Coturnix japonica: one gene and its partner. Each later gene encodes a partner of the first gene's protein in a complex. Links are inferred from orthologs where the notes say so. Each region holds a gene or a part of one and is shown on either strand. Other genes may lie near its edges. The genes, in order: STRIP1 and PDCD10.

The links.
Region 2: STRIP1 (region 1) and PDCD10 share a complex: the UniProt entries of both Homo sapiens proteins name them as parts of the core of STRIPAK complex. The link is inferred for Coturnix japonica from reciprocal best matches to the Homo sapiens genes STRIP1 and PDCD10.

What each region holds. Positions count from the first base shown.
Region 1 is NC_029541.1:1,697,882-1,701,796, forward strand, and holds the start of STRIP1 (striatin-interacting protein 1), read left to right. Parts: upstream 1-1,619; 5' UTR 1,620-1,646; coding exon 1,647-1,763; intron 1,764-2,159; coding exon 2,160-2,229; intron 2,230-2,452; coding exon 2,453-2,527; intron 2,528-2,639; coding exon 2,640-2,774; intron 2,775-3,005; coding exon 3,006-3,126; intron 3,127-3,818; coding exon 3,819-3,887; intron 3,888-3,915. UniProt on the Homo sapiens protein: Plays a role in the regulation of cell morphology and cytoskeletal organization. Required in the cortical actin filament dynamics and cell shape. Part of the striatin-interacting phosphatase and kinase (STRIPAK) complexes.
Region 2 is NC_029524.1:18,278,625-18,282,439, reverse strand, and holds part of PDCD10 (programmed cell death protein 10), read right to left. Parts: intron 3,355-3,815; coding exon 3,301-3,354; intron 2,201-3,300; coding exon 2,083-2,200; intron 1,523-2,082; coding exon 1,396-1,522; intron 1,053-1,395; coding exon 974-1,052; intron 674-973; coding exon 591-673; intron 1-590. UniProt on the Homo sapiens protein: Promotes cell proliferation. Modulates apoptotic pathways. Increases mitogen-activated protein kinase activity and STK26 activity. Important for cell migration, and for normal structure and assembly of the Golgi complex.

The DNA of each region.
Region 1 (3,915 bases):
CCCTCAGCATTCCAAGCCACTCTCATCTCCTCCTCCTTCCCTTTCCCATCCTGGTGACCAATGTTTCTCTTCACCTCCATCTCTTGCAGCTTATTGTTGGGGGAAATCCCTTGCAACCAACCCAGTGAGGTTCCTCCTGGCTTTTTTTCCCCCCTTTCTCCCAATGCCTCTTTCTTCCCTTAGCAAAGGCAGGGAGGGATTCGCTTCTTCCCCCACTGCCTGTTACAGAGCTGACATGGGACCCCCACCCAGAGAGCTGCAACCAGGGATGGGGGCTGCTCCCATGGCTCTGTATGTGGCTGCGGTGCTGCTTGTCCCTCAATGGGGGGGATGATATGAGGATGGATGGGGCAGCTTTGCCCACCTTCCTGTGCCCTCTGCTCTGTCTCTTATGGGGCTGTGTCCCCCCAGCCCTCATAGGCTGTGGGCAGGGGGGGTCTTTCTAACCCCAAGCTGGGGGCTGCAGCTCCATCTAAGCCATGTATTGGGAGGGGGGGGGAGGCAATGTCAGGCTGGGAGGGAGAGAGAGAGAGAAAGAGAGAGAGGTTTATTTTGTATATGACTGATTTTTAACGAATGCAATATGATTAATCCTTGCAGACGAGCAATAAATCATTAAAAGTCTAATGAAAAAAAAAACAAAAAACCAAAAAAAAACGAGTAGGAGCATAAAACGACCAACATGGCAGGTCGGTGGGTGAGTGCTTACAGCCTATGGGGGCACATAGGGGGGTGGGGGTCCTCCAAGCCCCCCCCCCAGCCCCTCCAAGGCCTGTAGTTGGGGTTGGATCCTCATTCACTGTAATGGGGGCTTTGGGCCCATATGGGTTATGTGGGCCCCATAGATCTGACCTGATTAGTTATAACCCATATGGGTTATATGGCCCCCTGTGGGTTATGTGGGCCCATGTGGGTTATATGGGCCCCTGTGTGTTATGTGGGCCCCTGTGGGTTATGTGGACCCATATGGATTATATGGCCCCTATGGGTTATGTGGGCTCATATGAGTTATATGGGCCCCTATGGATTATGTGGGCCCATGTGGGTTATGGGTTATATGGGCCCCTATGGGTTATGTGGGCCCCTATGGATTATATGGCCCCCTATGGGTTATGTGGGCCCATGTGGGTTATATGGCCCCCTGTGGGTTATGTGGGCCCCTATGGGTTATATGGGCCCCTGTGGGTTATATGGGCCCCTCTGGTGGGATCTGCTCCCCCTATTTGGGCTCTGAGCTGGTTCCGGGGTCACATCAGGTCATTCCGGACCCCCCTTTGGTCCCCATCCCCCCCCCACTTCCTGCCACTTCCAACATGGCGGCCCCCAGCCGTCGCGTCACGTGATGGCCGGAAGTGCCTCTCCCAACATGGCGCGCGCCACACCTATCATGGCGGCGATGGGGCGGAGCTTCTCCTCCGGTCGAGGCGCCGCACCGGACGTGGCCACCGGGGGCGGGCGGCGCTGGGCGGTGCCGCGGCCTGAGCGTCTGAACGGCGGGACCGGCGGGAGGTGTCATGGCGGAGGCAGGAGAACGGCCGGAGCTCGGCGCCACTCCCAACATGGCGGCGGCGGCTCTACCCCGGCTCTCCCTGCCGCTCCCGCGAGAAGGAGGGGTGAGTCCTCGCGAGATCTCGCTGTGTGGAGCCATGGAGCCGGGCGGCGTTGTGGCGGGGCCGCTCCCGGCCAACAACAAGGCCCGAAGCGGGGCGGGACCGGCGGGGAAAGGCCGAGAGTTGGGCCGACCCCCGAGGAAGGACTCCGAGGTCAGAACCGGAACCGACAGAACCGGGCCCGGCTCCGCGGGGCGGGAGAAGGCCGGACGGGAGGGGCGGGGCCTAAGCCGGGCCGGTTCCGGGAGGGGCGGGGCCTGGTCCGGCCGGTTCCGGTGCCGTGGGCCCGGCCTGGTTCCGTCCCGATCCCACTGCGGCCCTGTATGGAGTGAACAGCTCCAGGGGGCGGAACCTGCGGCCCAATGCGGCAGCACGGCCGGGGGGTGGATTGGAAACGTTGGTGCTGCTGTGGGGCTGCAGGAATGAGGGGGGTGTTGGGGTTCGTTTGGGTCCGTTTGGGTCCGTTTGGGTCCGTTTGGGTCCGTTTGGGTCCGTTTGGGTCCGTTTGTGTCACTGAGCCCCTCATTGAGCCCCGTTCTTTGCCCCCAGGGCTACTCGGAGTCCCCAGACCTGGAGTTTGAATACGCAGACACCGATAAATGGGCGGCGGAGCTGTCCGGTAAGGGGCCCGTCCTCACAGCTCAATGAATCAGCATTGGGTTCTATGCCCTGATCGTGACCGAAGCGGTTCTGTCCCCTCCAGCGTCGCTTTGTTGCCTTTAAACACCTCATTCACATTAGAAGGGCTGTGTCACTTCATAGCAGCTGTTCCTTTGCCATTAACATTGAGCAGCCATTAACCCGTGGGTCGCAGGGTGACGGTTCTCTGTGCTCTTTGGCAGAGCTGTACAGTTACACCGAAGGCCCCGAGTTCCTGCTCAACCGCAAATGCTTCGAGGAGGATTTCAGGATCCACGGTGAGAGCCCCCCCTTGGAGCTGGGGGCACCAATAGGGCTGGGTGTATCAGGTTGTGAAGTCAAGCAGCCCTTCAGCCCCATCCCATATACATCAATGCTTTGGCTTTGCAGTGCGGGACAAGAAATGGACGGAGCTGGACAAGAAGCAGCATCGCACCCACGCCATGAGGCTGCTGGATGGGCTGGAGGTCACAGCCAGGGAGAAGAGGCTGAAGGTGGCCAGAGCAATCCTGTATGTTGCACAAGGTACGTGCTGGCGTTGAGCTGGAGGCCTTTGCTTTGTATTTCATCTCATACAAGTGGAGCTGAAGCAGTTGTCAGAGGAAGGAGAGTGGTCTAAACTGCCCCTGCAAGAGGGCAGCTCTGTCCTTTGCTTTTCACCTCCTGCTTTAGCATTAAAGATGTGACGTTCTGTCCATCTGCAAAGCACATTGGCTGCACAGAAGGGCTTTGCATCCACTCAGGGTGTCGTTACAGGCACGTTTGGGGAGTGCAGCTCCGAGGCTGATGTCCAGGCCTGGATGAGGTACAACATCTTCCTGCTGCTGGAAGTGGGGACCTTCAACGCGCTGGTGGAGCTGCTGAACATGGAGATCGAGTGAGTGGTGGGAGCAGCTGCTCCAGGAGCCGCTATGGGGCTCTGCTATGGGCTGAGATGCTCCAGGAGCCGCTATGGGGCTCTGCTATGGGCTGAGATGTTTCCCAAAAGGTGGCAAAAAAAAAAAAAAAAGCCGCTTGGGGCTTCTGCTATGGGCTGAAGATCTCCAGGAGCTGCTATGGGGCTCTGCTATGGGCTGAGATGCCTCCAGGAGCTGCTGTGGGGCTCTGCTATGGGCTGAGATGCTCCAGGAGCCGCTATGGGGCTCTGCTATGGGCTGAGATGCTTCAGGAGCCGCTATGGGGCTCTGCTATGGGCTGAGATGCTCCAGGAGCCGCTATGGGGCTCTGCTATGGGCTGAGATGCTCCAGGAGCTGCTATGGGGCTCTGCTATGTGCTGAGATTCCTCCAGCTGGTGGCAGCTGTGTTGTTCCCTGCCCTGTTTCTGTTCTATTCCTGTTCTGATTCCTACTCGAATGGCTGGCATTGCTGCGTGTGGATGTGTAGACACACAGGATGCACGCAGCAGATCTCTAACAGCCGTGCTGTCTGGCAACAGCTGCGTTCCCCCTCTGCTTGATGGGGGACTTGTTGCATTAGTGCTCACTCCAGGCTTTGATTCTGACACTTGGATTGCTTATAGTAGAGTTAAATGCCTCAGGAGCAGCACTGAAGCTGTTCTCTCCCTGCAGTAACAGTGCAGCGTGCAGCAGTGCAGTGAGGAAACCTGCCATCTCCCTGGCTGACAGCACAGACCTGAGGTATGGAGCTCTGCACGAGGAGCTGCTG
Region 2 (3,815 bases), on another chromosome or scaffold:
ATTGTTTCAGGGTTTTAAACAACTAAGGAAGTATAGAGCAGATGACCATTAGATGTCTGTTCTTTCCCTAGCTGAACATTCCAACACCTGGTAATTTCAGAATTAGCAAATTCTTACTAAAACACTGAGCATGCAGGCACATGGAAGCAACTTCCTTCAGTTACCTCTGGTAACAAAGAAGCATGGGGTCACTGAGCTTTCCAACTCAATGATACCATTATGAGTGACCATGTTATTTAGTGCTCTTTCTTCCTCATGTCAACAGGTTATCTTATCTAGTGTGTTGTTCAAACAGATGTAAATTATTTTCTGTTCCACAAGGAACATAGATGTTACCTGGGATTTTCTGAAATACTGATAATACCTGAGGCACTGTAAAGCATATATCCACAACACACAGCATTCACTTCACATAGGGCTGAACAAAGCTGGTCTGTTTTTCAGCATGTATGGGGTAAGCACACAACACATACAATTCTTGGCCCCACTTTTTCAGTCAAATGGCTTTGTCTTTATTTTCCTCTAGTCACACCAATTAGGTAAACAAAACCTTTTCACTGTGTATAAGCTTAGTATAAAAAGACACTTACTTGCCATCTTTAAAATAGGTTTTCAGAGTATCGCTGAAACTTTTGGAGTATTTTACAAACTCTTTCTTTTGGTGCTCAAGTGCCTGCGGAAAAGAAAAAGCCAAGAAGTCTAAGTTGAGATGCTATTGTGTACATCACAATTAAAAATAAAAGAAAGCACACAAGGATTATGTAGATAAAAGAATGGGTTTACTGTGGTAATGGGTTGTTCTTTCCCTGTATGTTTTTTTAAAACCAATCTTCCTACGGAACTGCTGAGAATTACCAAACAGCCATGTTAAAACACTGACATTGACCAGTTATGCTCTTCTGTTCATCCTACAAAGAAAACAATATGCTTCCTCTTCTACTAGAGAAATACTGTATTAGGTTATTTCACATACCCTCCGGTTCTGGTATTGGTATTTCTTGAAGACATTATTTACTGTGTCAAGAAGTTCCTTTATTGCACTGGCGATGTCCCTGTTTGAAAATGAAAAGAATTGTAATATGCATAAGCTATTCAACTCAAACATAGAAATTTAATCCTTTTTTAATAGTAGCACAGAAAGAATTTCAAAGAAGACACAGAAATCAAATGCTAGGAAAGTGACATGGAACTTCAGCTGCTAATTACTGATTCAAATTACTATCTACTAACACAAGGATCTCTTAAATGTTCAGCTCTGTTCTTATTTCTATGTGTATGAGAAACTCTCCAAATGAGAACAATTTTACTAGTGCCTCCCACAGCATTTGAACATTCAGCTCCAAACATAAAGTTAGGCCCCTAAAACTCCATAAAAATATTAAATACTGTACTTACTTGATTGTTTGAAGAAACCTCACTCTGTCATTGATCTCATCTGGAATCTTACTAAGAATCTGTTTAAGTGCTCGCGCCTTTTCATTCAGATCTTGGAATTCTGGCTCTGGTCTTTCAATCATATATTCTAATAAGTTGGATATGTGAAAAAAATACCATTAGTTTTCCATCAAAAAGTTTCCAGTGACAGCTTAAATAAAACATTACTTCACAAAATGCACTAGCAACCATGATGGATCTCAAGATACTAACAGAAGCAGACCAACAATAACTTTCCTTACTGAAAAGTGAGGAAAGAATAGAGCCCAATTTTATTTCCAAAGAACACTGACAACATTACAATAACGAAATACAGTTTTAAAAGAACTTTAAGCTCTCCTGTCATCGTAACTGATGCTTTCAATTTGAAACAAACTGCAACAGGTGAACTTCCCACACAAACCATTCAAAGGATGCATTTTCTTCCTCTTAGTCAAGAACATGTCTGGGGAGTTGCAGTGGTAGGCTTTTTCTTTATTCTCTCCAAAATAGGTACTCAGAGAAAGAGCTATTGCTTCTATTGAATATGGTTGAAAAAGAATCTACTTAGTAAAAGTAAACCTCTTCTGAAAAATAGGCAGAGCAATGCATGCTCTTGTTTAGAGTACGATGAAGAACGCCCTTACACAACATGAGGCAAGATATTACCTTCTACATCATCTGCTGCCATACGTAGGAGGGACTCTGTAAAATTCACATCCACACTTTTTTTCTCCAGAATTTTCATAATAATGTCCTGTGTGAGGCCTGGATTTTCTTTTTCAGCCTGCATTGTAGGATAAATTACTCTAAAAAATGCTCTAGAAATGCAATCATAATATTGCAAGCACAAAAGCAGATTTTAATGCAAGTTGTTTTGTACACCAGTGTTTGCTAGAAGAATTTCCATTCTAATGCCTTTAAAAAAGCACTTTACACTGACAGCTGTTCTTCCAGTATATTTTTCTTGGGTTATATCAGCAGTTTTATATGAATGACTTTATCAATATGCCCTTCCCCTCATTACAAAATATTTCTTACTCAAATTGACAGAACCATCTCTATGCTGTTGTACTCCTGCAATGTAACATTAGCAGTATTCACAGTACCTGTGTTGCTATCACAAAAATAGGCTGTGCTGAACAAGAATGAGGGTGTGTGTGTTCTGAGCTAGGACTACCATTTCCAATAGGGTTAGTTTCCATGCTATTTGTATTCAGCTTAGCTCCTTAGGACTATCTGTATAGAACATTTAACTTGGAAGAGTTCTAATTGAGAGTTGTGTCTGCTCAGGTACACTTTAAGAGGAGAAACAGGAAAGCACTGCTTGGTTGCTACGCTCGATGTACCTTGCATGTATACTTATTATTGTTTCTGCTAAAAGAAGTCTAAAAGATAGCTACTGAATGGTACATAGTAAGTTACAAGAAATATTTCTTCAGTTTCCTGCTAGATTTAAGTAAATACAAACACCAAATACCAAACTTATATTTCATCCACAAAAAAAATTTCCCTAACTATTAATCTTTCCAAGCCTGATACATTCCTAGTACTTCTGAACACCTATTCTACATAATCTGGTCCCATTAACACTGGATTTGTTACCTCTATTTCCTGTTCCATCCTCACTGATTTATGCCACCTTTACGCTTTCATACCATGTACACAAGGTAGGATTGTTTAAAATTGTTTAATATACTTTTAAGTATATTCAGATTTCTAATATGTGCACACCTTCCAAACTTACAGCCCATGCAATTGTACACTCAGTTTTATTGAAAACTATTGATCATAAAGGATGCATTCTTCAAATACAATAATATAAAGAATTTAAGTTTCAACATATATTGTTTAACTGACCATCCTTCAATACAAATTATGTCTCACCTTAATAAAAGCTGCTCTCAGTGTCTGAGCTGCAGATAGATTTACTCTTTCTAGCTGCAAAAGAAGTTTAGAATTATTAGTAATTTCACTGTTAACAGAACAACTCAAGCACTCATGCACTGCCTTATGTGGCCCAGTGAAAAAGGGTATTGACAGAAGAACAAAGACTGATCTCATCTGAGGGACAGACAAGATGAAGTTTGATCCAAACAAACAGCACTCGCTATGCCTTGCTTTTATTCAGCTTGCAGCAGAAATCTGACAGAAGACTTTTGAGAACATCTTGACCTCTGATACTCGCAGAGAGACAAATATTCTATTCAATTACAGCCATTAGCAGTAGAAATGGAAATGTATGAGGCTGTTCACAGGTATGTGTTACACCATGCATCACTTCTAGTCACATAATGTACAGGTTCCTAATGCTGTGTCAGATCTGGGAACATTAGAGCTGAAACAGCTCCAAAAGCAGACTCCCAAAAATTGCTGTGTGCATTTACAGGCATGAAGGGGAA